Linked DNA regions of Oryctolagus cuniculus. The protein of the gene in region 1 purifies or fractionates together with the protein of each later gene. This does not show direct contact. Links are inferred from orthologs where the notes say so. Each region holds a gene or a part of one and is shown in the gene's direction. Other genes may lie near its edges. The genes, in order: SQSTM1, PML, NOD2, PINK1, NIPSNAP1, TRIM13 and SESN2.

What was found.
Region 2: the proteins of SQSTM1 (region 1) and PML purify together in Homo sapiens (affinity purification with western blotting; 3 studies listed by BioGRID and IntAct, with this or other methods). This does not show direct contact. The link is inferred for Oryctolagus cuniculus from reciprocal best matches to the Homo sapiens genes SQSTM1 and PML.
Region 3: the proteins of SQSTM1 (region 1) and NOD2 purify together in Homo sapiens (affinity purification with western blotting; 4 studies listed by BioGRID and IntAct, with this or other methods). This does not show direct contact. The link is inferred for Oryctolagus cuniculus from reciprocal best matches to the Homo sapiens genes SQSTM1 and NOD2.
Region 4: the proteins of SQSTM1 (region 1) and PINK1 purify together in Homo sapiens (affinity purification with mass spectrometry; 3 studies listed by BioGRID and IntAct, with this or other methods). This does not show direct contact. The link is inferred for Oryctolagus cuniculus from reciprocal best matches to the Homo sapiens genes SQSTM1 and PINK1.
Region 5: the proteins of SQSTM1 (region 1) and NIPSNAP1 purify together in Homo sapiens (affinity purification with mass spectrometry; 4 studies listed by BioGRID and IntAct, with this or other methods). This does not show direct contact. The link is inferred for Oryctolagus cuniculus from reciprocal best matches to the Homo sapiens genes SQSTM1 and NIPSNAP1.
Region 6: the proteins of SQSTM1 (region 1) and TRIM13 purify together in Homo sapiens (affinity purification with western blotting; 3 studies listed by BioGRID). This does not show direct contact. The link is inferred for Oryctolagus cuniculus from reciprocal best matches to the Homo sapiens genes SQSTM1 and TRIM13.
Region 7: the proteins of SQSTM1 (region 1) and SESN2 purify together in Homo sapiens (affinity purification with western blotting; 3 studies listed by BioGRID and IntAct, with this or other methods). This does not show direct contact. The link is inferred for Oryctolagus cuniculus from reciprocal best matches to the Homo sapiens genes SQSTM1 and SESN2.

What each region holds. Positions count from the first base shown.
Region 1 is NC_091437.1:67,652,876-67,656,964, reverse strand, and holds the start of SQSTM1 (sequestosome-1), read left to right. Parts: upstream 1-1,206; 5' UTR 1,207-1,567; coding exon 1,568-2,009; intron 2,010-4,089. UniProt on the Homo sapiens protein: Molecular adapter required for selective macroautophagy (aggrephagy) by acting as a bridge between polyubiquitinated proteins and autophagosomes.
Region 2 is NC_091443.1:109,465,497-109,469,152, reverse strand, and holds part of PML (protein PML), read left to right. Parts: intron 1-3,310; coding exon 3,311-3,656.
Region 3 is NC_091449.1:34,272,625-34,276,280, forward strand, and holds part of NOD2 (nucleotide-binding oligomerization domain-containing protein 2), read left to right. Parts: intron 1-465; coding exon 466-549; intron 550-1,040; coding exon 1,041-1,124; intron 1,125-2,902; coding exon 2,903-2,986; intron 2,987-3,656. UniProt on the Homo sapiens protein: Pattern recognition receptor (PRR) that detects bacterial peptidoglycan fragments and other danger signals and plays an important role in gastrointestinal immunity.
Region 4 is NC_091438.1:150,132,007-150,135,662, reverse strand, and holds part of PINK1 (serine/threonine-protein kinase PINK1, mitochondrial), read left to right. Parts: intron 1-662; coding exon 663-947; intron 948-1,700; coding exon 1,701-1,801; intron 1,802-3,656. UniProt on the Homo sapiens protein: Serine/threonine-protein kinase which acts as a sensor of mitochondrial damage and protects against mitochondrial dysfunction during cellular stress.
Region 5 is NC_091452.1:22,927,418-22,931,073, reverse strand, and holds part of NIPSNAP1 (protein NipSnap homolog 1), read left to right. Parts: intron 1-311; coding exon 312-439; intron 440-571; coding exon 572-617; intron 618-857; coding exon 858-952; intron 953-3,656.
Region 6 is NC_091440.1:69,269,290-69,273,221, forward strand, and holds TRIM13 (E3 ubiquitin-protein ligase TRIM13), read left to right. Parts: upstream 1-1,519; coding exon 1,520-2,743; 3' UTR 2,744-3,346; downstream 3,347-3,932. UniProt on the Homo sapiens protein: Endoplasmic reticulum (ER) membrane anchored E3 ligase involved in the retrotranslocation and turnover of membrane and secretory proteins from the ER through a set of processes named ER-associated degradation (ERAD).
Region 7 is NC_091438.1:143,426,831-143,431,249, reverse strand, and holds the start of SESN2 (sestrin-2), read left to right. Parts: upstream 1-1,477; 5' UTR 1,478-1,609; coding exon 1,610-1,870; intron 1,871-4,419. UniProt on the Homo sapiens protein: Functions as an intracellular leucine sensor that negatively regulates the mTORC1 signaling pathway through the GATOR complex. In absence of leucine, binds the GATOR subcomplex GATOR2 and prevents mTORC1 signaling.

The sequences.
Region 1 (4,089 bases):
CAGGACCTGCCTGGGAGGTCTGGGGGGGGGGGTGACACACCTCCCTTCCCAGCGCCTTCCCCCAGGCCTTGCAGACAGGTCACTTTGGTCCCAGGAAGCAGAGTTTCTGGATTCCCAGCTGAAAGGTGACTGGTCCCATCCCCTTGGCCGCCCTTGTGGCCAACACTCTTGAGGCCCTACAGGCAGGCACCTGCTGCATTGGCCCCCTGCCCTGACAGGTCTGTTAGGCAGCCTGCATCTGTGAGAGGGAAGAAATGGGAATTTGTGTGGCTGGGTGAGGGAAGAACCACAGAAGCAAGCCTGGGAAGCAGAGCAGTATTTACATCTCAAAAGTCTTAGTTTCAGGTGGGGCCAGTGCTGTGGCGCAGCAGCTGAGCCTTCACCTGCAGCGCCGCATCCCATTTGGGCACCGGTTGTGTCCCGACTGCTCCTCTTCTGATCCAGCTCTCTGCTATGACCTGGGAAAGCAGTGGAGGATGGCCCAAGTCCTTGGGACCCTGCACCCACGTGGGAGACCTGGAAGGAACTCCTGGCTTCGAAGTAGTTCAACTCTGGCTGTTGCAGCCATTTGGGGAGTGAACCAGCAGAGGGAAGACCTCTCTCTTTATCCAAAACTCTGCCTGTAAAATAAATAAACACATTTTTAAAAAAAGAGCCTTGGTCTCCTTCTATAACCTTGTTGAGTGGGTCCCAGCCTTTTCCCAGGGGCAGCTTAGAGAAATCCCTGCCCTGCATTGGGGGGGTGTGTGTGTGTGTGTGTGGCTATTAGGTCCAATAATACTGCTGATGAAGTTCTGGGAGGAATTTCAGGAATTCCACACTCTGGAAGCCCTTCCCCCAGACGTGTCCCAGAAGGGGAGGGGAGGGGAGAGGAGAAAGAGGGCTATACCCGTATCCATAGAAACCCCAGTCTGAAAGCAGGTGGGTTCAGCTCTTGATGGAGATGCCCGCCTACTCTGTCAGGTGCATTCTTTTCATCAGACTTGGCCAGCACGCTTGCTGCTATTCTGTCCCATGGCTGAAGTTCTTGTGCTAAAACAAGGACCCCTGATCAACCATTCCTGGTGATGGTGAGGAAGGGCCTGGGGCGTCAGGCTCAGCCTGCTGGGCTCACAGGGCTGGGGGCGTCCATGTGTCTTTTTGAGCTGCAGTCAGCACTTGGTGACTGACTGCCGTCGCTAGTGGACGAGCCGGCCAGCCGGCCCTGGACAGCTAGGGACGCTCATGCAGGAGGCTGTGGTTGGTGTAGGGCTGCCTTCTGGGGGTCACGCATGGCAGGGCAGCAGGGTACCCTAGCAGCCAGCTGGTTCCGGCTGGTGGTGCCCACTGGGCAGCCTAGATGCCTCCTGGGATAGAGGGCTCTGTGTGTCCTCCTCTGTCCTGTGCTGGGCAACCCCTGCTGATGACCAGGGACCTGCTCTGCTGAGTCACAGCCAGGCCCAAGCCGGAGAGGGGCCTCGGACAGGACCCCAGCCCATTCCTTTCAGGAGGTACAGATGCTGAGGCCTGCTCTGGGGGTCTCCGGTGCCCTGGGGGCAATGAGGGGACAGACTGAGAGCGGTAGACCATGTCAAAGGGCAGCGGGGAGAGGGGCAAGCAGGCACGGGGCCCTGGCAGGGAGACTCGCGAGAGGCGGCCCCGGCGGTGGGGGGCGGCACCCGAAGAGTGCAGGCTCCGCCCCCAGGAGTCCACGTCGGGCGGGGCTTCCGCGTGCCCTACAAAAGCCACGCGCCACTGGCGCCACCGCCGCCGCCTCCTCCGGTGCTCCCTCGGTTGCGCAGCTGCTCGTCGTTCTCCGGCTGCGATGGCGTCGCTCACCGTGAAGGCCTACCTCCTGGGCAAAGAGGAGGCGGCGCGCGAGATCCGCCGCTTTAGCTTCTGCTTCAGCCCGGAGCCGGAGGCCGAGGCCGAAGCAGCGGCCGGCCCCGGGCCCTGCGAGCGGCTGTTGGCCCGGGTGGCCGCTCTGTTCCCGGCGCTGCGGCCCGGCGGCTTCCAGGCGCACTACCGCGGTGAGCGGGCCGGGGGGTGGCCGGGGTCCGGGGCTGCCCTTTCCTAGTCGGTGCCGGCTGCGTCGGAAGGGATGCTGTGCTGGTCGCGCTCTGGGTGAGCGGTGACCTGCGCGTACCCCACTTGCACCTCGGGTGCCAGCCCAGTGACCCAGGCCCTGTCCCTCAGGGGCCGAGGCGATCAGGCCCCGCGGGCTGGGGACTTTGGGTCGTTAGATGCTTCCTGTTCCCCGCCATAATGTTGCAGATCTCGCCAAGGACGCGCCGGGGCGTCCTCTCTGGCCCTGGGCTGAGAAGGTGGTCAGGCGGGCACTCGGGTTACACTGACATCTTGCTGCTGCCGGGGCTGGGCCCGCCGGCGCCAGGTTTGCGTTCAGCGAGCCCTGAAAGTGGGTGGTGGGCGTGGGCGGCTGGGGGACGCAGGGCCCTTGAGCCCGGGGTAGGCCGCAGGTCGCCCAGGGACAAGGCAGTGGGGAGACGGCCGATGTCGAAACGTTCTCCACAAACTCAGAGTGGGGACAAGCCCGGAGCCACCGCTCTTTCTGGCTGCGCTGCTCAGACCGGTAGCTGCTGCTGGGGGTGGGGTCCCGGGACAGCAGTGTGGGAGGGAGGTCCTCGGCCAAGGCCCGCCCCTGGGAGGGAGCAGGGCTGGGACCGCCCTCAGTAGCTTGCCCAGCATTTTTTTTTTTTTTAATTTCCTGGTGACAATTTTATTGAGCTGTAATTCACATACCATAAAATTTACTCATTTAAAGTATATAATTCAAGGGTTTAAAATTTTATTTCATTTTGAAAGGGCAGAGAGACACATACACACACACCCCAACCTACCATCTGCTGGTTCACTCCCCAATGGCTACAGCTGCCAGCCCCAGCCAGGCCAGGAGCCTGAACTCCATCAGTGTCTCCCAGGAGGGTAGCAGCAACCCAGGCACTTGAACCATCCTTTGCTGCCTCCTCCAGTGCACATTAGCAGGAAACGGGATCAGAAGTGGAGTGGCCTGGACTCCAACCAGGCACTTTCATATGGGCTGCCAGTGTTCCGGGCTGCCAGTTAGCCGCTGCAGAAATGCCTGCCCCGATGCAGTGGTCTTTAACACATTCACCAGTTGGAACTTCTGAGCAGACTTGGGGCTGGAGAGCGGGGCCAGGCGCTGGCAGTCAGCATGAGAACCCCTTCCTCTCCACTGGAACCCCATGCCTTTTACCTGTCTCCCTCAGCTCCTGCAACGCTGAGCTGCTTTCTCTCCTGGGCGTCCTCTTCTGGACAGTGGTGGAGAGGGGGTTGTACAGTTTAGCTTTGTGTCTGGCTTCTTTCCTTAGGGAAATGCGTTCAGGTTCATCAGAGGTGTAGGCTGCATCTGTATTCGTTTCTTTTGTGGATATGCCATATCGTGTTTGTGTCATTAGTTGATGGACTTTTGGGTTGTTTCGCAAAAGTGCCACTCTTGCTCTGAGGGTAGATGTTGCCCTCTGGTGCCCAAGTCCAGGCCCCGCCTGCAGCCTGTGCACGGTGCGGTCTGGTCTGGTCTGTGTGGCAATGCTTTAAAATCACGGAAGCCAACATAGAAGGACTCAGCCTTTTTTCTTCGTTGGAGAAAGCAGCAGGCCTCTGGGCTCATCTCCACTTAAACATTGCAGACAGCCCAGAGCCTTTGGCGGGCTGGGCCTCTGAGGGACAGGGCACTGTTATTGTCCGTGTAGTGTACGCGGAAACTTTGCCTTTTAGGTGTGACCGTGGCCCAGGTTCAGGCCCAGGCGGGCACACTTCCTGTCCAGTGAATGGGCAGGCTCCCTTCTTATCCCCGATCTGTCCAGCCCCACCCCTAAAGAAGTGGCCTTGGTGGGCATCAGGCCTAGTGGTTAGTTCACCCATTAAGATACCTGGGGCCCGTGTTGGATCCCAGCTCCCGACTCCAGCTTCCTGCCAGGACAGATGCTGGCAGGGGGTAGGTGAAAGTTCAAGTAATTGGGTCCTCACCTCCTACATGGGAGCCCTGGATTGAGTTCCTGGCTTCTGCCCAGCCCAGTCCCGGCCCTTGATAGGAGCTCTGCTTGTCTACCATGTCTCAAAAATAAATAA
Region 2 (3,656 bases), on another chromosome or scaffold:
CTGGCCCATGGTCACAACTCCAAGTCACAGCTGCGGCCGTCTCTCCCTCTTTCTCCCGTGGACTCAGGGTCCATCCTCGTGTCCACCCTCACAGGGGACAGGGTGCCCATCATGGGGGAGATGGATTCAGGGAGGAGACCCCTCCCCAGCCCACCCTACCCTGGGCAGAGCCAGCTCAGGCACCTCTCCAGGCCTCCACCCAGCACCAGGCGTCTGCAGGGTGCACTCCTCCTGTGCGTGCCCCACCCCCTCCCCACTGGGGCTGTGGGTGCTGCAGGACCTCTGCTGCTCGCTGCCCTGGGCTCCCCGGGGTCCCCCTGCCTGCTTGGCCGTGTGCCTCCTACAGAGACCCCAGCCGTCCTGGCTTCAGGCTGAGTCTCTCTCTCTCTCCATGTCTCTCTCCCTCTCTCTCTCCATCTCTCTCCATCTCTCCCCCTCCCTCTTCCTCTCTCTCCCTCCCTCTGCCTCTCCCTGTCCCTCTCTATCTCTCTTCCTTTCTCCCCTTTTCCATCTCTGTCTCTCTGTATCTGTCTTTCTCTCTCTCCATCTCTCTCTCTCTCTCTCTCTCTCTCTCTCTCTCTCTCTCTCTCTCCCCTCTCACTCTCAGCACTTGGGGTCTGGGATGAGGCAGGATCTGTGGGGTCTGTGTGGGGATTTTCCACCCAAGTGCTGTGAGGACCCAGAGCTGAGTGACAGTGACAGTGACCGTCACCCGGGACCCTGCCCCTGCAGTCCTGGAGGCGCCTGCGTGGTCTGCACCGCCCACCCTTCCCCACTCCTGCAGCAGCTGGGGGCGCTGGACACATGGGGGGCAGTGTGTCCATGCCCCGGGCTCCCCGGAGACACTCAGGGCAGGGGGGTGCTGTATCCCCAACCCACAGGCAGGATTTCTCCTGAGAGAAGCAGAGGTGGCCCTGAGCCGCCTGAGAAGGGACAGGGAATGGGGATGGGGTGAGCGCTGTGTCCCAGCCCCCAGGGAGCTCCTGGGGACCTCCTGCTGCTTCCCCCTGGCTCCCAGCCCCGCAGGCCGAGAGCCCCCAGGAGAGGAGGGAGGAGGGCTCCAGGCCAGATGCCCCCTCCCTCTGGGGCGTGCAGCAAGGAGGGCGGGGCCCCGGCTCTGCTGAGGGGGGAGCAGGCTGTTCTGGTGGATGATGGACGTCAGTCAGGGAGGGTCTGGCTGCCCCGGGGTCCCTGCACCTCACCAGTGGGGGACGGGGGGCATTAGGCTGCCCCCAGGGTCCCTGCATCTCACCATCGGGGGGCGGGGGGCGTCAGGCTACCCCTGGGGTCCCTGCATCTCACCATCGGGCGGCAGGGGGCGGCAGGCTGCCCCTGGGGTCCCTGTACCTCACCAGCGGGGGGCAGGGGGCGTCAGGCTGCCCCTGGGGTCCCTGTACCTCACCAGTGGGGGGCAGGGGGCGTCAGGCTGCCCCTGGGTCCCTGCACCTCACCAGCGGGGGCAGGGGGTGTCAGGCTGCCCCTGGAGTCCCTGTACCTCACCAGTGGAGGGCAGGGGTCGTCAGGCTGCCCCTGGGGTCCCTGCACCTCACCAGTGGGGGGCAGGGGGCGTCAGGCTGCCCCTGGGGTCCCTGTACCTCACCATTGGGGGGCAGGGGTCGTCAGGCTGCCCCGGGGTCCCTGCACCTCACCAGCGGGGGGCAGGGGGCGTCAGGCTGCCCCTGGGATCCCTGCACCTCACCAGAGAGGGGCTGGGGGACGTCAGGCTGCCCCTGGGGTCCCTGTACCTCACCATTGGGGGGCAGGGGGCGTCAGGCTGCCCCGGGGTCCCTGCACCTCACCAGCGGGGGGCAGGGGGCGTCAGGCTGCCCCTGGGGTCCCTGTACCTCACCATCGGGGGGTGGGGGGCGGGGGGCGTCAGGCTGCCCCTGGGGTCCCTGCACCTCAACAGCGGGGGGTGGGGGGCGGGGGGCGTCAGGCTGCCCCTGGGGTCCCTGCACCTCACCAGCAGGGGGCAGGGGGCGTCAGGCTGCCCCGGGGTCCCTGTACCTCACCATCGGGGGGTGGGGGGCGGGGGGCGTCAGGCTGCCCCTGGGGTCCCTGTACCTCACCAGTGGGGGGCAGGGGTCGTCAGGCTGCCCCTGGGGTCCCTGTACCTCACCATCGGGGGGTGGGGGGCGTCAGGCTGCCCTGGGGTCCCTGTACCTCACCAGTGGGGGGCAGGGGTCGTCAGGCTGCCCCTGGGGTCCCTGTACCTCACCAGTGGGGGGCAGGGGGCATCAGGCTGCCCCGGGGTCCCTGCACCTCACCATCGGGGGGTGGGGGGCGTCAGGCTGCCCTGGGGTCCCTGCACCTCACCGGGGGGCAGGGGGCATCAGGCTGCCCAGGGGTCCCTGCACCTCACTGGGGGGCAGGGGGCGTCAGGCTGCCCCTGGGGTCCCTGCACCTCACCAGCGGGGGGCAGGGGGCGTCAGGCTGCCCCGGGTCCCTGCACCTCACCAGGGGGCGGGGTTGGCGTGTTGGTTCACGTGGAGACTCCCCGCCTATTGAGACGTCAGTGACCCTGGTAGTTTGAAAACACTTTGTTCTTGAGAACAAATGATTTTTGGAGGTTTTTCAGCGGGGAGTGGGGGTAGGGGGAGAGTGAAGATGGGGGAGGGGCCCTGGGGGGCTGGGAAGCACAGGGGAAGCTCCTGGCTCCCGGCTTCGGCCTGCCCAGCCCTGGGCATTGCGGCCATCTGGGAAGTGAACCAGCAGATGGAAGACCTCTCTCTCTCCCTCTACTGCTCTGCCTTTCAGATAAATAAACCCTTAAAAATAAGTTTATTTTATAAAGGAAACATCAATTCCGCGAATTCCTTTTGTACGCATTCTCCGCGTCCTGCAGCTGGAGGCACAGGCCGCCGCAGCTTTACTCTCGTGTGCTGCTCTGGGCCCTGGCACCAGCGCCATGAACGCTGCGTCGGGAAAGCGTGAACCTGCACACCTACTATGACTCAAACTCTGGCACTTTTATCTAGGGGATTTTTTTTTTCATCTGAATGGCAGAGAGACAGGCAGACGGGGGGAGGATCTTCCGTCTGCTTCCAAAAGCCCTTAAACAGCCAGGGCTGCAAACTGCCCGGATACCCCCGTGGGGGGCAGGGACCCGATGACCTGAGCCTGCCCCTGCGACCTCCAAGGGTGCGCCTCAGCAGGAAGCTGGATGGGAGCGGAGTTGGGACTGGGACTCGGGCACTCGGATATGGGATGTAGGGGGTGAGGTGGGTCCCAACAGGTGCGCCAAACGCCAGTGGGGTCTGGCAGTTTGGGAAGAAGCCGGCGAGCCCTAACCCAGACGGTTCTCCCGCAGCATCTACTGCCGGGGCTGCCACAAGCCCCTGTGCTGCTCGTGTGCGCTCCTGGACAGCGGCCACAGCGACCTCAAGTGCGACCTGAGCGCCGAGGTGCTGCAGCGCCAGGACGAGCTGGACGCCACGGCGCGCGCGCTGCGGGAGCGCGGCGGCGCCTTCGGGGCTGCGCTCGCGCAGGTGCGCGCGGCCATCGGGCAGCTGGGCCGCGCGCGCGCCGACGCCGAGGACCTGATCCGCGAGCGCGTGCGCCAGGTGGTGGCACACGTGCAGGCGCAGGAGCGCGAGCTGCTGCAGCAGGTGCACGCGTGCTACCAGCGCGACTATGAGGAGCTGGCGGCCCGGCTG
Region 3 (3,656 bases), on another chromosome or scaffold:
TGCTCTTGGGAAAGCAACAGAAGATGGCCCAAGTGTCTGGGCCCCTGCCACTTATGTGGGAGACCCAGAAAAAGCTCCTGGCTTAAGCCTGGTCCAGTCTCAGCCATTGTGGTCATGTGGTCATTTGGGGAGTGAACTGGCAGATAGAAAATTCTCTCTCTTTCTCTCCCACTCTCTCTGTAGCTCTGAGTTTCAAATAAATAAATTAAAAAAAAAAATAAAGTCAGGAAAAAGGAAAAATGTCACAACTTGGTGTATTACTATTGGGAGTGAGTCTCCCATCCCTGAGGGTATGGGGTGGGTGGGCCTCTGTACCCCACCAGGAAGAAGGGGGCAGGTTCACGTTGCTGGGAGACCTGGCTGGAGTCGGCTGGGCCTGCAGAGAGCAGGAGTGCACTGGAGGGTGTGTGGAACATGTAGCCAACATGCACTGACACTGACGGTTCACTGTGCTGTTCTTCCCAGGTTCTGGGGCAACAAAGTGGGTGACAAGGGGGCCCAGGCCCTGGCAGAAGCCTTGAGTGACCATCAAAGCTTGAAATGGCTCAGGTAAGACTTCCTCTGCCCTACGGCGGTCATGTGAGAGCCAGGAGGAGCTTGAGCTGCCTTTGAAACTCTTTGAACTTCAGTTCTGCACTCCCATCCCCCGCCCCATCGCCACGTGAGGCAGTCAGGACACTGAGTCTCTCTGGGTGACTTTGGAGATAGCCTTTGCCCTCTCAAGGTCTTCATTCACTCCCCATGAATGGGAGATGCAGGGTAGGATCAGGAGCGTTTGTCTCAAGAAGCACGTCCAGTGCATTGATAGTGGCTGCCCAGTGTACCATGTTGGGGAGGCCTCTAAGGCTGCTCCTGGCCTTAAAGACACTATAATCGATTAGTGATGTCTTAAGTGTAAAACAGTCCTGTAGCCAGTTAGTGATGTCTGATATGGAGCAGACTGGAGAGTGAGGCTGTGTGTGCTGTTTTGCTCTTTGTACATCAGCTAATCTCTGAGGTCCCTCTGTGCTCTGACGTTTTTGCTCCATGTTTACATCCAGCCTGGTGGGGAACAACATTGGCAGTGTGGGTGCCCAGGCCTTAGCATCGATGCTGGAGAAGAACGTGGCACTAGAAGAACTCTGGTGAGTTTGGGGGGGTTCCCTGCTCATGAGAGGCAGTGAACAGCTTTCGTTGGTTCCCTGGCCGCATCCATGGGGCCACCTTGGAAGGCGGAGTGGAGTTCGGGGAAGTTGAAGGAGGAGCGTGGACTGTGCACACAGTGCTGACCTGCAGGGACTCCAAGTTCTCCATCCTTTAGATGCCACTGTAGGGTCTCCTGATGCGCTCTGGGCAGTTCCAGGTCCTAGCAGGGAGGAAAAAGGCTGAGTGTGGTTTCTTGAGGAAGGAGAAAGGCCCTGAAACCTTAGAGGCGTTGCTAGAAATCGGATGTAGGCATACCTCGGAAGTACTATGGGTCCTGTTGCATCCCAGTGCAGTAAAGCAAATCACATACTTTGTTGGTTTCCCCGTGCAGGAGAGTTCTGTTACCGCTCGTCTTCCAAGTGTGCAATTGCTTTATATCATAAAAAATAGTGTATACCTTAATTAAAATATCCTTTATTGCTAAAAAGGGCTAATGATTAGAAAACTGGTGCTGGCAGACCTGCTTAGCAGCAAAGATGCCACAGACCTTCACTTGGTGAAAAACCTGTCTCTGAGCACAGTGAAGGGAGGCAAACTTGTGCTACAACAGCCTTGGTCGTTGGCAGGGCTTGCTAGCTCTGCCAATTTGCCGCTGACTATATACTGATTGGATTCTGTCACTTGGATGTCTAAGTAGAGGAGCACCTCATTGTGAGTGCACCACTTACCACTGCTCTTAAAAACTTTAGACAAACTAAATTTGGCAGTGTTTACTTGAGCAAAGAATGCTCATGGATCAAGAAGAAAGACCCAGAGAGCTCCACCCAGCAATGTGGCCAAATAGTATTTGCAGAGGGTAAAGGGAGGTGACACACAGAGAGAGCTTGATGGGTTACAGCTCAGCATTTGAGATGAGCTGACAGCCTGTGATTGGCTGACGTTCAGCTGCTATGATTGGCTGAGACTTGGCTGTTTGTTATACGAATATACTCTTAGATTGCAATTTATTTATGTGCTAACTTAGGTTGCAGGTCACTGCATAGGAACTCAAAGTATGGAGGTGGCTTCAGGCCAAATTTAGGTTAGTTTAACACTATATGAAGCTGCAAGTGATAGGAAACCTTCATCTACAGAAGCTTAAGCCAATAAAAGGTTTATGTTTTCGTGGACAGGCAATCTGAAGGTAGGTGACATAGGGCTGGTGTCGTAGCTACAAAAGGCCTAGTTTCTGTGTCTTTCTGGTCCATCGTCCTTAGCCTATGACTTCATCCTTACAGTTGTTGCCCCCTAATCACAAGGTAGCTGCCCCTACCTGCGATATTACTTCTGTATTCCAGGATTCAGAATGGATACAAACCTGGAAGGAGGAAAGCCACAGGCTGGCCAGGTCTCTTTCCCAGAAACCCCTCCTGTCAACTTCCCCTTGTGTATCAAAGCCCTGTGTATGTCTCTTGCCCAGCTCTGGCTGCAGTGGATGTTGGGAAATTATTTTTTTTTTTCACTGAGTATGTGACTGCCCCAAATGAAATGAAGCTTCCATTAAAGAAAGGGAATATGGTTGCTGGGGTATGGGAGGAACTCATTATCTAGGAGAGCCCTGGGGCAAATTCCCTTGCAAAATTGTCCTGGAATTGAGAATCTGCCTGCCCTAACTTCATCCATGAACTTGGGTGTTCAGAAGTTGGATTTTCTAAATGGGAGGAGGTATGCAGATTAATCTCTATGCACATCATGAATGTGATCTCATCAGTGAGGTTTTCTCTCTTGTTCTTGCCAGCCTGGAAGAGAACCATCTCCAGGATGCAGGCGTGTGTTCTCTCGCAGAAGGACTAAAGAGGAATTCAAGTTTGAAAGTCTTGAAGTAAGGACCTCACCAGTGGTAGCTGGGGCAGTGATGGCCGGCCTTGGGGAAGGGGTGTTTGTGAAGTAGAGCCTGGGGCAGCTGTGCAGCCAGAGTAACTCACCCTAGGTGGACAGCAGCAGCTTGTGTTAGTCTGGGTCGACAAGGATTCCAGTGCCAACGTGGTTACCTGGGAGGTGGTCCAGCAAACACTGGTGGGAAAGTAGTGAAGTGAGGTGGGGGAGGGAAGGTAACCGATAGGGGCTGGTTCTTGAGCCAGTGATCACTGAGAAATTGGAGCTCAGTCCTGATGGGGCTCTACAGGAATGCAGAACATGGCTGGTTACCTAACCAGACAAGGGCACTTATCCACCATGTGCTGCTGCCTCATATGCTTCGGGGCGGGGAGTGGGGGAGGGTATGAATTCTCCAGCACATGCAGCTTTGGGGTCAGGAGCAAAGCCTCAGGCAGAGAGAGGCAGGTCCTGCCAGCCAGTGGCCCTCAGAGTTGGAGGTCAAAGCCAAGTGAATATGGATGGGCCGGTTGCTGATAGAAATGTCTCTCCCTACTCCAAGGCTGTCTCCCTCTTAGGTGGGATGGCCATCGCCGGTGGTTTCTCTTGTGTTGTGCAGCATGCACACTTACATTTATTCAGGTGATCATTCATTCATTCATTCATTCGTCATACAT
Region 4 (3,656 bases), on another chromosome or scaffold:
GCCCGGCTACAAAGGTGGGTGCGCCCTCGTGCCCATGGTGACTGATGAGAGTCGGGAGGGATCGGCATATGAGACTCTCCGAGAGGAAGCAGCGCCTGGGCGGGTGAGGTGACGGCCCTGAGTCTGACGCGGAGGCGAGCCCAGCGTTTCGGGGATAGGCTGTTTCCTTAGCACCACGCAGGGCCCAGCAGCCACCTGCCCCTGGCAGAACCTGTACTGAACCGGGTGACCCACCAGAGGCCCGAGAGGCAGCAACAGCCAGGCAGGGCTGAGTGACTGCTCCGGGGCGCGCCTGGTCTCATCTGCTTGCCTGCCGCGGGGCCAGGGCCAGGGCCCTGTGGGGAGCCGGCTGCACAGTCAGGCGGCTGCAGGACTGCCGGGGTGGGGGCAGCAGAGGACCATGTGTCCCCGGGACTCAGACGTCCTGACCTCGCCCCCGCCACACTGGGCTGTGCCTGTCATCGCGGTGCAGGGAAAGGACGTGAAAATGTGCTCAGGCAGAGTGGCCCGAGCCCCGGGGAGCAGTCAGGCCCGGTGCGGTTGGGTTTTTATGGACTCTGGGACTGTGGGTGTGAGGCCCCTGCCTCGGAACACCTCTCCCCGCCGGCTCTCTTCCTTCCCTTCCCGGCTCCCTGGCTCACGGAGCGCTCTCTCCCTCGCAGGCCATCTTCACCCAGAGAAGCAGGCTGGAGGCCGACCCGCTGGCCGCCAGGCGCCGGCAGGGCTTCCAGCTGGAGGAGTACCTGATCGGGCAGCCCATCGGCAAGGGCTGCAGCGCCGCCGTCTACGAAGCCGCCATGCCCGCCTTGCCTGTGCGCCTGGAGGTGGCACAGGGTGCCCGGCGCCCGGGGAGCGGCCCGGATCCCGCGGCAGCAGGAGCCCAGGAGGCGCACGCTCCCGCCACCCCTGCCTTTCCCTTGGCCATCAAGATGATGTGGAACATCTCGGTAAGGGCGGCCCTTCCTCTGCTGAGTCGGCGTCGCCCACAGCGCGGGGTCTTGGTGGGCCCTGGGGAGGGTCCTCCGGGCGGGAGCTAGGGAACGTGTGGCCCCGCCCCCTCGCCATCTCTCCCGGGGTCCAGAGCTCCCTGTAACCTGTCCGCAGCCACCTGGGACTGAGCAGCTCAGGGGGGGGCCTCGGGTCCTGCCTCTGGAGCCAGCTCCTGGGGGGTGCCAGTGCAGTGGGTCTGTGGGCCACGCAGGAGCGAGTGCCCGCACCAGTGGCTTCCAGACCCATCGGTGGGCTCACGTCTGGCCGGCCGTTGCTTGGAACCACCACCATGCTGGCGAGGAGCCGGCCCCCCCGCCCCACCCCCACCCCCAGCTGGAGGCCTCGCCTGTCAGCCCCGCTCTCAGCTCTCGGAAGGCCCTGGCAAGTAGAATACTTTCCCCGACATGAGCGTGGGTCTGTCTGTTAGAGGAATCTTTCCCCACCCGTCGAGGTTGGGTTTAGAGAATTAATCCACCCCTGGCACGCCCCTGCTCAGAACACGCACCCACGGCGGAGGCAGAGAGCGGCCCGGCCCCCCGCGCTCCATACCGGCGCGTGCAGTTTCTGGCTGGGATGCGGGCCTTGGGACCGGGAGTGTGGAGGCTTGGCTTCCCACCTCACAGCGTTGCCTCCTCCGCCTGAAGGTCAGAGCTGGCCCCAGGCACGCGGCCGCGTCTGTGTAACCCTGGTCTTTCCTGCTGCCGCTGCAGGCCGGCTCCTCCAGCGAGGCCATCTTCAGGACCATGAGCCAGGAGCTCGTCCCAGCCAGCCGAGTGGCCCTGGCCGGGGAGTACGGAGCGGTCACGCACAGGTGAGCGCCCCCCCCCCCACCTGGCCAGCTGAGTTCTTTGAGAGCCAAGTCATCGCCTGGGTCCCCGCACTCAGCGCGATGCCAGATGTGACACAGCAACAAATGTTTCCCGAATCATTTGATCAGGCGGGTTTTCAGTCGGGGGAGAATTTAGCTTGGCAAAGATTTCAGATCACGTGGCCCCAGCTGATGCAGATGGCGAATTCACATCAGAGCAGGGGAGAAAGGCCACTCGCAAATGCCCAGTTCCAAACGCGGGGGAAGTGGACGAGGCCCCAGACTCCTCCTAAGCGGTGTGCAGCGCCACCTAGTGGCTACGCCCGCTCGGGGCCCGTTGCACCAGCAGCTCCCTGCGCTGCCGGCACCAGAGTGCTGTGTCGTGCCAGAGTCCTGCGTGTGGGCAGAGCCCGGCCAGCGCAGCGCAGAGCAGAGCCAGTGTTGGCAGTGCCAGGGCAGCGTCTGCCCAGGTGCCCGGTAGGCCGTACGCTCCCTGCAGGGCCAGGCCACGCGGAGGGAGCGCGTGCTCCCTGTGGAGGGTGTTCTCAGCTGAGGGAAGAGCTGATTGGACGGTGCACGGCAGCCTGCAGGCCAGGCCGGCTCTGCAAATGCCGGCTGGGTCAGCGGCGCCCCCCAGGGAGCCGCGGGACAGCTGCGGTGCTGGTGACAGAGTGGAGGGTTGGCTTTCCCATCTCAGTCCCGTCAGGCGCAGGAAGACAGCGACGTGTGGGGATAGGCATGGAGAAGCCCTGTGGCCTGGAAGAGTCCCGGGTGGCTGAGTCCCTGCTGGGCCCCAGGAGCGTGGTGCTGCCGCCCTCCCCTCCCCAGCCCTCTGTGCAGGAAACAGCTGCCCAGGGCGGACGTGAATCCTCACTGCTGTGATGTCACCTGCCTGACGCCCCTCTGTCATTTCACAGCATGAATCGTCATCCAGCCCCCCCCCCAGATTGATTTTCACAGAGTTGCAGAGAAGGGGGGAGTCAGAGAGTCTTCCATCTGCTGGTTCATTCCCCAGACGGCTGCCATGGCCAGCACTGGGCCGGAGCGAAGCCAGGAGCCCCCTCTGGGTCTCCCACAAGAGTAGGGACCCAAGCACTTGGGCCATCTTCCACTACTTTCCCTGGCACATTAGCAGAGAGCTGGATCGGAAATGGAGCAGCCAGGACTTGAACTGGCACCCACATGGGATGCCAGCGTCACAGGTGGTGGCTTTGCCCACTGTGCTACAATGCCAACCCACCATGTAGTCTTTTTTTTAATATTTATTTATTTATTTGAAAGGCAGAGTTACAGAAAGGCAGAGAGAGAGAGAGAGATCTTCTGTCCGATTGTTCACTCCCCAGATGGCTACAACAGCCAGAGCTGCGCCAGTCTGAAGCCAGGAGCCATAGCAGAGAGTTAGATCAGAAGTGGAGCAGCTGGGTCTCGAACTGGCGCCCATATGGACGCCAGCAGGCTGCAGCTTTATCTGCTACGCCACAGCCAGCCCCCCACCATTTAGTCATAAATCAGACGTCTTTGTAGATTCGCTGCCGTCCGGCTGTGCCATAGGCGCATATCCATGGAGTGCAGGACGGCTGTGGCGGGAGCAGCTCTGCCCCACAAGCCCCCGGGAGTGTCCCCTGCCTGCACCTCCTAGGAGCCCCCCGCGAGGTGCACCTCCTGCTTCTCCGTCATCCGTCTGCACTTACCCCTCCACTCCGCCAAGCTGCCCCAGGACGGACGGCTCCTGACGCAGCAGCTTAGCACGTGCGTGGCCGCACCCCCCACCGACTCCCATGTTACTGTAGACCCATTGCCCTTGGAGCAGGCACCCGTCCTGGGGGCTGGTGCCCGGCAGGCAGCCCCTGGGTCTCGG
Region 5 (3,656 bases), on another chromosome or scaffold:
TGGGGTTGATCTTGTGTGGGCCAAGTGGAGGGGAAGGAGGGGTCATGGAGGCCAGGAGGTGGGAGAGAGGTGGGAGGTGGGGCTGCCTGTCCAGGCCCTGCAGAGATTCAAGATGCAGACTGGGTCCTTTCTACAGAAGAGGCCGAACCTGCCCAGCGGTCTCTGGTGGCGTCTCACACTCGAGCTGCCACGGGATCCTGTGGCCCTGTTCCCAGAAACAGGGGCCGCCAGCCTGGGGCAGCAGGGCATCCAAGCAGAGGGAACTGTGGGGGCTACTCCTGCCCACCCCCCTGAATACGTCTGTCCCACAGTTTCTATTCCAAGGACACTGAAGGCAGCTGGTTCCGCTCCCTCTTTGTTCACAAGGTGGATCCCCGGAAGGACGCCCACTCCACCCTGCTGTCCAAGAAGGAGACCAGCAACCTGTACAAGATCCAGTGTGAGTGACTGCTGAGCTGCCCAGCCCCGTGGGCTCTCTGGGGGCCTTGCCGGGCTGTCCTGGGAGCCCCCTGACTGCCCCGCCTCCACGCACACGCCCTGCTTCACCTTGCACCCTGTGTTCTCCTCGCAGTTCACAACGTGAAGCCTGAGTGTCTGGATGCCTACAACAGCCTGACGTGAGCATCGTCCTCCAGCTGCCCGGGCCAGTGCCTGCCTGGGTGGGGGCCCGCATCCCGGCAGATCTCAGAACTCCCACTGCCCCTTTCGGGAATCTGTAGATTCAGAGCCGGAAGTCCAACCTCTGCCTCTTAGCCATGGGAGGCTGAACCCTGCCCTGGGGGCCTGGGTTGGGACCCTCCTGTGGGGGTTCCTGGAGCTGGTCTGAGCCCTGCCCCTTCTCTGTGCTCCTCCCCCAGGGAAGCTGTGCTGCCCAAGCTGCACCTGGATGAGGACTACCCCTGCTCGCTCGTGGGCAACTGGAACACGTGGTATGGGGAGCAGGACCAGGCAGGTAAGGAGGTGCCCACCTCCCCAGCACCGCTGCCCAGCCAGCGTCTCACACCTGGCTGCCTTCCACTGCCCGCACTGGGTGGGGGGCTTCTTCCCAAATGCACAACTGATCACCCCAGCACCCACCTCAGCTCCCTCGGTCCTCGGCGTGGCCTCCAAGGCTCCAGCCCTTCCTCACTCAGCCAACAGCCTCATGGTGCCACCTCTGCCTTGTGCACTGCTGTCCCTCGTTCCTGTAGCAGGGACCCAGCCTGCATCTTGAATCTTTGCAGGGCCTGGACAGGCAGCCCCGTCTCCCACTCCTCTCCTCATTCAGTCCCCAGTGCACGCCTCAGCCTTCTTGTTCCGAGCTCTTGTTCTCTCACACCTTATTTGGCTCACTGGCTTTTGTTTTGGCGTCAGTGTCACCTCCCCTCACTCCGCACGCCCAGTGCTTGGCCACGCTGCCCCCGATCATTCGCACCTGTAGCTGTCCGTCTCCCTCTCTAGGTGGTGAGTTCTGGGGCTGCAGGGTTGTGTGCACCGCTGAACTCCCAGTGTGCAGCACATGGTTGTGGAATAAACTGGCTCCTTACAGCTTCCAGGAGCACCCCCAGAATGCTCCATCCCACCCCAACATAACCCACCGAAGTTGGCACCCGCCGCTAGGACCCACACGTGAATTGGCCCCTTCATGGGGCCTCGGCCTTGACCTGCACTATCCAGAATGGTAGCGCTAACAACGTGTAGCTGTTTACATTTACACTGGGGGTGGGCATTTGGCCTGGTGGTTACGCTGCCACGTGGGACACCTGCATCCCGTATTGGAGCGCCTGGGTTTGTTTTTGTTTGTTTGTAAAGATAGATTGGTTTATTTGAAAGGGAGAGCCTGGATTGAGAAATACCTTTTTCTCTCTTTGCATCTGTCTGTCTCCCTCTCTCTGTCTCTTTGCCTCTCAAATAAGTAAAAATGGTATAAGAAATTTAATGTTAATTTTTTTTTAGATTTATCTACATATCTGAAAGTCAGAGTTGCAAAGAGAGAGAGAGAGAGAGAGAGAGAGAGATCCTCCATCTGGTTCACTCCCCAGATGGACGCAACAGCCCGGGCTACATGCTGAAACCAAAAGCCAGGTGCTCCATCCCAGTCTCCCACTTCAGCCGCTTCTCCCAGACCATTAGCAGGGAGGAGGATCGGAAGTGGTGCAGCTGTGACGTGAATCAGCGCCCATATGGGATGCTGTTATTGCAGGTGGTGGCCTTATCCACTACACCACAATGCCGGCCCCTAATGTCTTAAAATTAAATAAAATAAAATTTTTATTGAAATTAAATAAAATGGACAATTCAGTTGCTTAGTTACACCAGCCACGTTTCAGGTGCCCCCTGATAGACATGTGGCTCATGGCTGCCATCTCGGATAGTGTCGCTAGTGAATATTTTCATTGTAACGGGAAGCCCTTCTGGGCAGTGCCAGCTTAGCCTGTCTGCATAGCGCAGAGCAATGGTCCTCTAACCCTCCCTTGAATGCTGTCAGCAGTGGAGGGCTCACTTCCTTGTAAGACGGCCCGTCTCACCCTTTGACAGCCCTGATACTTGTGTATCTGTAAGAATCTAGGACTAGGCTGGCGCCGCGGCTCAATAGGCTAATCTTCCGCCTAGCAGTGCCGGCACACCGGGTTCTAGTCCTGGTCGGGGTGCTGGATTCTGTCCTGGTTGCCCCTCTTCCAGGCCAGCTCTCTGCTGTGGCCCGGGAGTGCAGTGGAGGATGGCCCAAGTGCTTGGGCCCTGCACCCCATGGGAGACCAGGAGAAGTACCTGGCTCCTGGCTTCGGATTAGCACAATGTGCCAGCCGCAGCAGCCACTGGGGGGTGAACCAATGGAAAAAGGAAGACCTTTCTCTCTCTCTCTCTCTCTCTCACTGTCCACTCTGCCTGTCAAAAAAAAAAAAAAAAAAAAAAAAAAAAAAAAAAGTCCCGGTCGGAGTGCCGGATTCTGTCCCGGTTGCCCCTCTTCCAGGCCAGCTCTCTGCTGTGGCCCGGGAATGCAGTGGAGGATGGCCCAAGTGCTTGGGCCCTGCACCCCATGGGAGACCAGGAGAAGCACCTGGCTCCTGGCTTCGGATCAGCGCGGTGCGCCAGCCTCAGCAGCCATTGGAGGGTGAACCAGCGGCAAAGGAAGACCTTTCTCTCTGTCTCTCTCTCTCTCTCACTGTCCACTCTGCCTGTTAAAAAAAAAAAAAAAGAATCTAGGACTGAGCTAGGTAGACTGTCGCACATAGGTAGAGCTCCTTCATCACGTACCCTGTTTCAGTAACAGGTGTGGGCACACTGAGTAAAGGGATCAGAGAAAAGCACCTCGCCTTCAGGTTCAGCTCCTGCAGTTTTCCCACGTTAGGCCTGGCTTGATCAACTCCAGGCCCTGAGTGGATTCTCCTTAAGTGTTTGCTAGTTGGGAAATGAACTTCAAGGGGTGGGATCCTGACTTTTTTTTTTTTTTTTTTTAATGTATTTGACAAGTAGAGAGGTAGACAGAGGGAGATCATCCACCTGCTGGTTCACTCCCCAAACACTGAAAACAGCCTTTGCTGGGCCAGGCTGAAGCCAGGAGCCCAAATGTCCTCCACCTGGGACTCCCACATGGGTGGCAAGGTCCCAAATGCTCCCGTTCGGGTGCACATCAGCAGGGAGCTGGGGTCAGAAGCAGAGGAGGGACTCAAATTCAG
Region 6 (3,932 bases), on another chromosome or scaffold:
AAAAAAAAAAAAAAAAAAAAAAAAAAAAAAAAAAAAAGAACTTATTGGACTGTCTGCTACTTTAAATGGATCTTTTATCTGTGCACAACATTACGCATGCAGACTTGAGAAAATAGCTCAGTGTCATTTAAATCTTCAAATACTGACGTTTAAGAAAACAATACTCCACCCCACCTCCAGACATGAAGTAATATAACCATTGATTTCATCAGAAAAGTCTTTAATTAATGGGAAGCTGTGAAGCTCAGAAGTGGCAAGTATGTTTTCCAAAAGTCTAATTTTCACATAAAAACCTTTTCACTGGTAAGAAATACTGTTACTTGCTTTCCTTGAAGTAACAAGCTCATTTTGTTCATTTTCAAGAAAATGCCTATCCTATATCTAAATCTGAACAGCCATGGTTGGCTATGCAAAAAGCAGTAGGTTCAGCCTGCAACTCAGATATATAAGTGGTTTTCCTCACATAACAACTCTGGTATGCAGAAGCGCTGTATATGTACCGCTCATTTTGTCAAATATTAAAAAAAGACATGCATACAAGGATTGAGGTATAATAAAATTAATACTTTTCCTGTTCATCAGGAACATTCGTAAATGAATCTGGCTCCCAACCCTACCAGGAATTGATGGTGATAAATACGACTGGTGGCACAACCCTACCAGGAATCGATGGTGATAAATACAATGACTGGTGGCACAATTTGTTGTTGCTTATTGCCTTGCTTTCTTGTGAAAGCTCCATCCTGCCATTGCTTTTGCTGTCAGTGCAAATGTTAACAGGGGTTCAGAAAGCAAATGTCACCTTTACTATCAGGAAAATAAGCTCACAGATGCCCTAAAAGAGGGACACCCACGTTTCTGCCCACACTTTGATAATTGATGGTGTAAATAAGATGGCTTTGATTACTGGCTTTGTAGTTTAAAAATGACAAAAACTGAATTCCCTAGGGAAGAGTGAATCACAACTATCTTGTGCTTTTACCTGTAATTTAGTGATTGTAATCTTGGCTTGGAAATAGAAAAATATACCAACTTCTAATATAAGTCTGCAGGAGGGTACATGCTTAGATTTATAGTATTTCTGTGCTTCTTTCTTTTAAATAGCATACCATTTTATGTTTGTGGGCCCAGGGTAAAGAACTCATTCTATTATAGACACTGAGTGGCTTTGTTTCTGACAGCTAGTAGTCCGCTCTGTTTTCAAACAATCAGTTGGGTCCTACTGGCTCAACTTGCAGTTGTCCTGGTCCTAACCCTGTCTCAGCCAAAGACTGTTGTTGGAAAGTCCACACAAAGGCCTTGTGTACAGGGTGCCCCACTAATGAGGAGCGTGTTCTAGTCCCGGCAGATTAAATCTGCTTTGGTGTGCATTCCCTTCCCAGATTTCTCACTTATTTTTGTTTGGCTGGTTATTTCAGTGAAGGGTCATTTTAATGTGAAGATAGCTTTTTCTAATAAAAGTCATAGTAAAGGAGATTACTGGGGTAAAATGTTATGTCTTTTTCTGTGCTAGGATGTGATGGAGCTGCTTGAAGAAGATCTGACGTGCCCAATCTGTTGCAGTCTGTTTGATGATCCACGAGTGTTGCCTTGCTCACACAACTTCTGCAAAAAATGCTTGGAAGGTCTCTTAGAGGGGAATGTGCGGAATTCGTTGTGGAGACCATCGCCATTCAAGTGCCCCACCTGCCGTAAGGAAACATCAGCTACTGGAGTTAACAGCCTGCAGGTTAATTATTCCCTGAAGGGTATTGTGGAAAAGTATAACAAGATCAAGATTTCTCCCAAGATGCCAGTGTGCAAAGGACACTTGGGGCAGCCTCTAAACATTTTCTGCCTGACTGATATGCAGCTGATTTGTGGGATCTGTGCTACCCGTGGTGACCACACCAAGCATGTCTTCTGTTCTATTGAAGATGCCTATGCTCAGGAAAGGAATGCTTTTGAATCCCTCTTCCAGAGCTTTGAGACATGGCGTCGGGGAGATGCTCTTTCTCGCTTGGATACCTTGGAAACTAGCAAGAGGAAATCCCTACAGTTACTGACTAAAGATTCAGATAAAGTGAAGGAGTTTTTTGAGAAATTACAACATACACTGGATCAAAAGAAGAATGAAATCCTATCTGACTTTGAGACCATGAAACTTGCAGTGATGCAAGCCTATGACCCAGAGATCAACAAACTCAACACCATCTTGCAGGAACAACGAATGGCCTTTAACATTGCTGAGGCATTCAAAGACGTGTCAGAGCCCATCATATTTCTGCAACAGATGCAGGAGTTCAGGGAGAAAATCAAAGTAATCAAGGAAACTCCTTTACCTCCCTCTAATTTGCCCACAAGCCCTTTAATGAAGAACTTTGATACCAGTCAGTGGGAGGACATCAAATTAGTAGACGTGGATAAACTTTCTTTGCCTCAAGACACTAGCACATTCATTAGCAAGATTCCCTGGCGCTTTTATCAGCTACTTGTGGTGGTCCTTCTGCTTGGCCTCCTTGTTTTCTTCAGTCCTACTGTATTCCTAGAATGGTCTTTATTTGATGAATTGGCAGCATGGAAAGACCACCTTTCAAACTTTAGTTCTTATCTGACTGAGAAAGCTGATTTTGTAGAACAATCCATTTTTTACTGGGAACAGGTGACAGATGGGTTTCTCATTTTCAGTGAAAAATTCAGGAATTTTAGTTTGGTGGTGCTGAACAATGTGGCAGATTTTGTGTGCAAATATAAACTATTATAAAATATGTTTCATGTATGCAGTTCTTTTATTAGAATTTGTTAGAATAGTAATTCAACTTTGGTCAAGATTCCAGTCAGATGTTTTCCTCGAAAAAAATTTCCTTCAAAAACAATGTCCTGTGGTGGCATCTGGCATGTTGTCCTACATTGGAGTGTCTGGGTTTGATACTTGGCTCCAGATTCCTGCTAATGTGAACTCAGGAAGGCAGTGGCTCAAGTGGTTGGGTTCCTGCCACCTACACTGGCAGATGTGGATTGAGTTTGCTGCTCTTAACTTCTGCCTTGGCCCTGGCCCAGCCCCAGTTGTCTCAGATAGGAGCATGTGCTTTCTCTGTATCCTCAAATAAAAACTGAAACAAAAAAATCATATGTTCAAACTAGATAGCATAAGGATAAAAGGGAAACTTGCTAATACAGCCCTGGACCATCCTTCCTTTATAAAGAGTGACTTTGAAATGAGTTTTCTGCCCACAGTATTGATTGTGCTTATGCTGGGATTAAAAATGGGAAGTGAGAGCATATGGTTATCTATTGTATTGACAAGGTAGGTAGTATAACAGTGATTGTCCATCAAGCATGAAATAAAGACTACTCTTGTAAAGCACTTTTTGCATAGTGAACATTCTTTAAGGAAACATGATGTGGATGGAATGGATTTCCCCACTTTTCTAGAGGGCTGATTCATTTCTAATCAAAATATAAATCTTTTGTAAACAGAAACTGGCACTTTCCTGTGATGAATTTACATTTTTCAAGAAGGTGAAGGTTTTAGCTTACCTTTTTGTTTTTTTAAGATTTTCATGAAATATGATTAACTGCAGAAGTGTTAGGGGGCTGTACATAGGCAGATTTAAAGAGATCCAGTGCATGGCAAAAGCAAGAAATGGGAAAGCCATCTTTCTACTGATAGCTCAGTACTTTGTTGTTCCAAAGTACCAGGGCTACTGTACAACCAAACCAATCCACTTGCAGAATTTTTAGACTAATAATAGGTGAAATAATCTGTTGGTTGTTATAAAGTACAAAGTAAACAGTTGAACACTAAGGCTGCCCTCTATCTGCTCACATGAGAAAAATGCACTATCACAGAATAAAATTACTTAATATTTTCACCTTACCTTCATATGAAAACAAAAAAGTTACCTAAGCTAAGAACTGCTCTCTAGTTCCCCTTCTTTTTTGTCAAGGAA
Region 7 (4,419 bases), on another chromosome or scaffold:
CCTTGCCGCTTTTCTTGAGCACCCACACAGCCAGGAGCGTTATCAATGAAGTACAGCTTCTTCATTGCCATCAAGCCTCGCGAAGGGGTTTGACAAACAGCACTGTGGAGGAAAACCTCTCTGCAAAGGGGTAGAACTGGAACCTTCAGCTCCCAGATCTCGATCCCAGTTGCAGGCTTTGCTGCTGATGAGGGGTTTAGAAGTCTTTTGGGAGTAGGAAGAGCTGGGACAGGATGGTGGCCAGAGCCAGGGGTGTTGCTCTAGGGCAGGTCTATATAGGGGTGAGGGCGAGCCTGAGGAGTTGGGGTGGGGGAAGGGAGGGCAGGAAAGTGGGGCTCCGTGAGGCAGTCTTAAGGTGAAATCCAGTCGCCGATCTCAAGTTTCTAGCCTCCACTGTGTGGTCAGCTTTCTGGGCAAAATCTCTCCGGACCCGAGGCTCCCCGCTCCCAGGCTAAGAGCCGGAACAATGTCCGTTCAGGCCGCGAAGCCCTTTGAGAGACTGGCCCTTGCTGGCAGCAGGAAAGTCTTCAGCAACCACACGGTCCTGGCCTTTTCGCCAGACCTTTGGGCGATGTCACGGGACCCAAAGATCTATAAACGCGGAACGGTTTGGGGGGCGGTCTTGGGGCCACCCTTTTTCCCCAGCCAGTTCTGGCTGAGCCGTGGCAGGGCCCGACCTGCAGGGGGCGCTGAGGGCTCACGCAGCCGACGAAACTCAACGGGAACGCTAAGCAAATAGCCCCAAAGCACCCAGCGGGTTAGTTTTCCTATTTTAATAAGAGGAGCGAGCTTTTCCAAACCTGAGGGTTTCTGTCCTGGACGCAACCCAGCAAAGCGAAGCATATGCACCGCGCAGCACCAGTTCCCTCGACAGGGGCTCTGGAAGTTAGAGCAGCTCAGGTCAATTCTTTTGTTTTAGGGATGAGGAAACGGATTCTGAGAGCTGAGACAAAAATCAGCTGGGATCGCAGAGCTAAAAGCTAGCACCCCGGTTGCCTGACTCCTGGAATGTGGTCTTGGGAGATAGATAGCTGACTCCAAGAGTGTATGGCTGCCCCCAGTACACATCTCTGGGGGAACAATTTCAGTTCTGCTTGGGTAGCGGGACGGCTCAGAACAAGTCTGCTGGAGCAGGGAGGGCCTCCCCCAGCACCGAGCACCATGCGGGCTTCATGAGTAATGGAATGAATGTGTGAATAGGCCGGTGGAGAGTGGATCTGTTCTGACTTTATCAAGCCTGTGGGAGGGGGATTTCTTTCCTTGAAAACCTCCTGGGGCAGGGGTTGTGTTCTGAGATTCAGAGAGCTGAGGGAGGAAGACAATAAGAACTCAGAAAATGACATTTGGGCTGATAAATCATAGCTCTGGAATGGTGGCGATATAAGGTTATCATAGCAAGGGCACCCCGGAATTTGGGATTAGAAAATGAATTTAGGAAGAATAAACCCAGAACAGATGAGAATCCTGTGAGAGTCATAATCTGAAAGAGAAGCTGAAGCCGGAAGAAACCTGAAAAACATTTCAAATCCAATCTAGACTTATCTTCAGGACTGGAATGCAATTGAGGAATAAAAATAGCTTTGGCCAATCAGTGGCCTCAACATAGCTGATGCAAGAGTCGAGAGAGTATGGCAACAGGAGGAAGAGATCTTCACTGAACCAAAAATCACAAGGCAGGGGGGAGGGGAGGAATGTGCCCAGGCTGGGGCCACACCCCACCCTCTCGGCATCCCACTGGGCTGGCAGCTTCATGGCTGGATTCCCAGAGCCCAGCACAGTGTCTGGTACACACACCACGGTCAATAAATATTTACTGAATGAAAGGAAGGAAAGCAATGGAGCTCTGACCGGCAGATTTGCTCTGAGTCGAGTGAGTTCAGTGATTCATCTTGGTTCATGGTTCCTTTTGCCAGGACTCCAGCTGCTGTGGCCATTTCCAGGGGATAACTTGGCTTTTCACACATGCTCCCCTACAAGGAGGGATGTGCTGACCCATCTATTAGAGGCCACTTGACAGTTATGTTCCTCACTGCCAATTAATACACCTGCTCTAAGCACCAGTTCCTGTGCCTGCCTGCTCCTTGCAGATTCACGTCGTCCTCTCATTTGGGTGTGCTGGAGTTTCTACTTTGGATTCATAAATGCCTGGGTTTGAGTCCTGGCTCAGAATGCTAAGCCGTCTGGCCTTGGCCAACACACCTCCTAAGCCTGTTTTCTTGTCTGTTAAATGGTGCCCTAATACCTGCTTCACAGGGTTGTGTGAGAGCTACATGAGACAGCAGCTGCGCCACTCCTGCTGTAGCCCAGTTAATGGTAGTGACTGTGCCGCTTCCTGTCTTTCCTTCCTTGCAGATTCCATGACAAAAGACTGCCCAGTTTAGTATATCAGCCTCTTTGGCTTTTCCTTCTCACAAATCACTCACTTTGTAAATGAAGTGTTGGGAATGATCTAATCACGTCCTGGAATATTCTAAAAGGTTACTCTGCAGAGGAGAATAACATATTTATTCAAAAATATCAGGGCTGGCATTGTGGCACAGTGGGTTATGCTGCTTCTTGCAATGCCAGCATACCATATCGGAGAGCCAGTTAGAGTCCCAGCTGCCCCACTTTCAACCCATCCCGCTGCTTACATTCCTGGGAAAGTAGCAGAAGATGGCCCAAGTAGTGGGGCCCCTGTCACCCATGTGGGAGATGAGTAATGTGATCAGGAAAATTCTCTCTCTCTTTTTTCTCTCTCTCTGTGTCACTTTCCCTTTCAAATAATAAAAATCATTAAAAAAAAAACAGTGAAGGCATTGAATGCTGGATACAATTTCAGTGGTCAGGGATTTACAACAAGGAGTACTGAAAAAAAAGTTTCAAGGCCAAACAAGAAACATGGGTGTGGCACATGATGAAACTGACAAAATAAATTGAATCACATCTTGGCAGATTTTGAACATCGAACTTTGTAGTCTGGACATTGATATTATAGAGTAAACTTTTTAGAATGAATTTGACAGGGTAGCTAACAGGGGAATTTAATTGAAGATTCTAGGGCATATTATTAGCAGAACATTGTGATAGGTGACATAGGACAAGAGACAAAGGTGCCCTCAAGAAGCATATAACTGGGCCAGCATTGTAGTGCAGAGGGTTAAGCCATAGTCCCATATGGGCACCCAGCTGCTCCACTTCCAATTCAGCTCCCTGCTAATGTGCCTGGGAAAGGAGCAGAAGATGGCCTGAGTCTTGGGCCCCTGAATGCATGTGGGAGACCCAGAGGAAGCTCCTGGCTCCTGGTTTTGGTCTGGCTCAGTCCTGGCCTTTGCAGCCATTCAGGGAGTGAACCAGCGAATTGAAGATCTCTCGATCCCTCTCTCTCTCTCCTTCTCTCTCCCTCCCTCTCTCTCTAGCTCTGCCTTTCAAATAAATAAATAAATAAATACATCTTTTATAAAAGAAGCTTATAAGCAGATAAGACACTATAAACACAATTTGTAATACAAAGTACATGTGATAAGTGTTAAAACAGAGACCCCAGCCCACGTGCTTTGGGAGCTCAGCAGTAGGTTAGATTAGCTTCCTTGTCTGAGAAAGCTGGAGGCAGAACGAGACAGAGGCTCATCCTTGGAATCTAAACCCAGATTAGACAAGATCCCCTCCATCCTTGCCCCCTCCAGGATCCCATGCCCAGAATAAACAATGACATTCCAACTGAAACACAGGAGCCTGTGCTGTGGCGCAGCAGGTTAGGCCGCCAGCATCAAATATTGGAGTGCTAGTTCGAGTCCCAGCTACTCAGCTTCCAGTCCTGCTCCCTGCTAATGTGCCTGAGAAAGCAGCGGGGGATGACTCCAGTCCTTGGGCCCCTGCATCCACGTGGGAGACTCCTGGGCTCCTGGCTTCAGCCTGGTCCAGCACTGGCAACAGCAGATGGAAGACCCCTCCCCCACCCCCTTCTTCCTCTCTGTCACACTGCTTTTCAAATAAATATTTTTTTTTTAACTTGAAACCCAATGGGTCAAGAAAAAACATGGAGGAAGAGGCTCTGTGGGAAGTGAATGGAGGCTGAACCTGGCTTTGGGCCCTGGGGTGCTGTAGATGCAACTTCCTTGCAAGAGGAGAGCTGAAGACCAGGAATCAGATGAGATCAGGGAGAGTGTGTCTGGAGAGAAGAGGGATGAAAACAGAAACTAGGGGAGCACCCACGTTTTAGGGAGTGGGAAGAGAGGGGGGAGTGGCCAGAGGATGAGGTAAGCATAGACTCAGCAGAGCACCTCGTTACTAAGTTTCGCTTAGGAGGGTGGCAGCTGTGGAAGGGTGGAAGACAGGACGGAAGCCCCTGGGGCGCAGAAGGCAGAAAGTGTTGTGACCGGGCTGGAGATCAGGCCCGAGGTTGGCGGATGAAGGAGTTTACAGGGACTCCACAGTGAG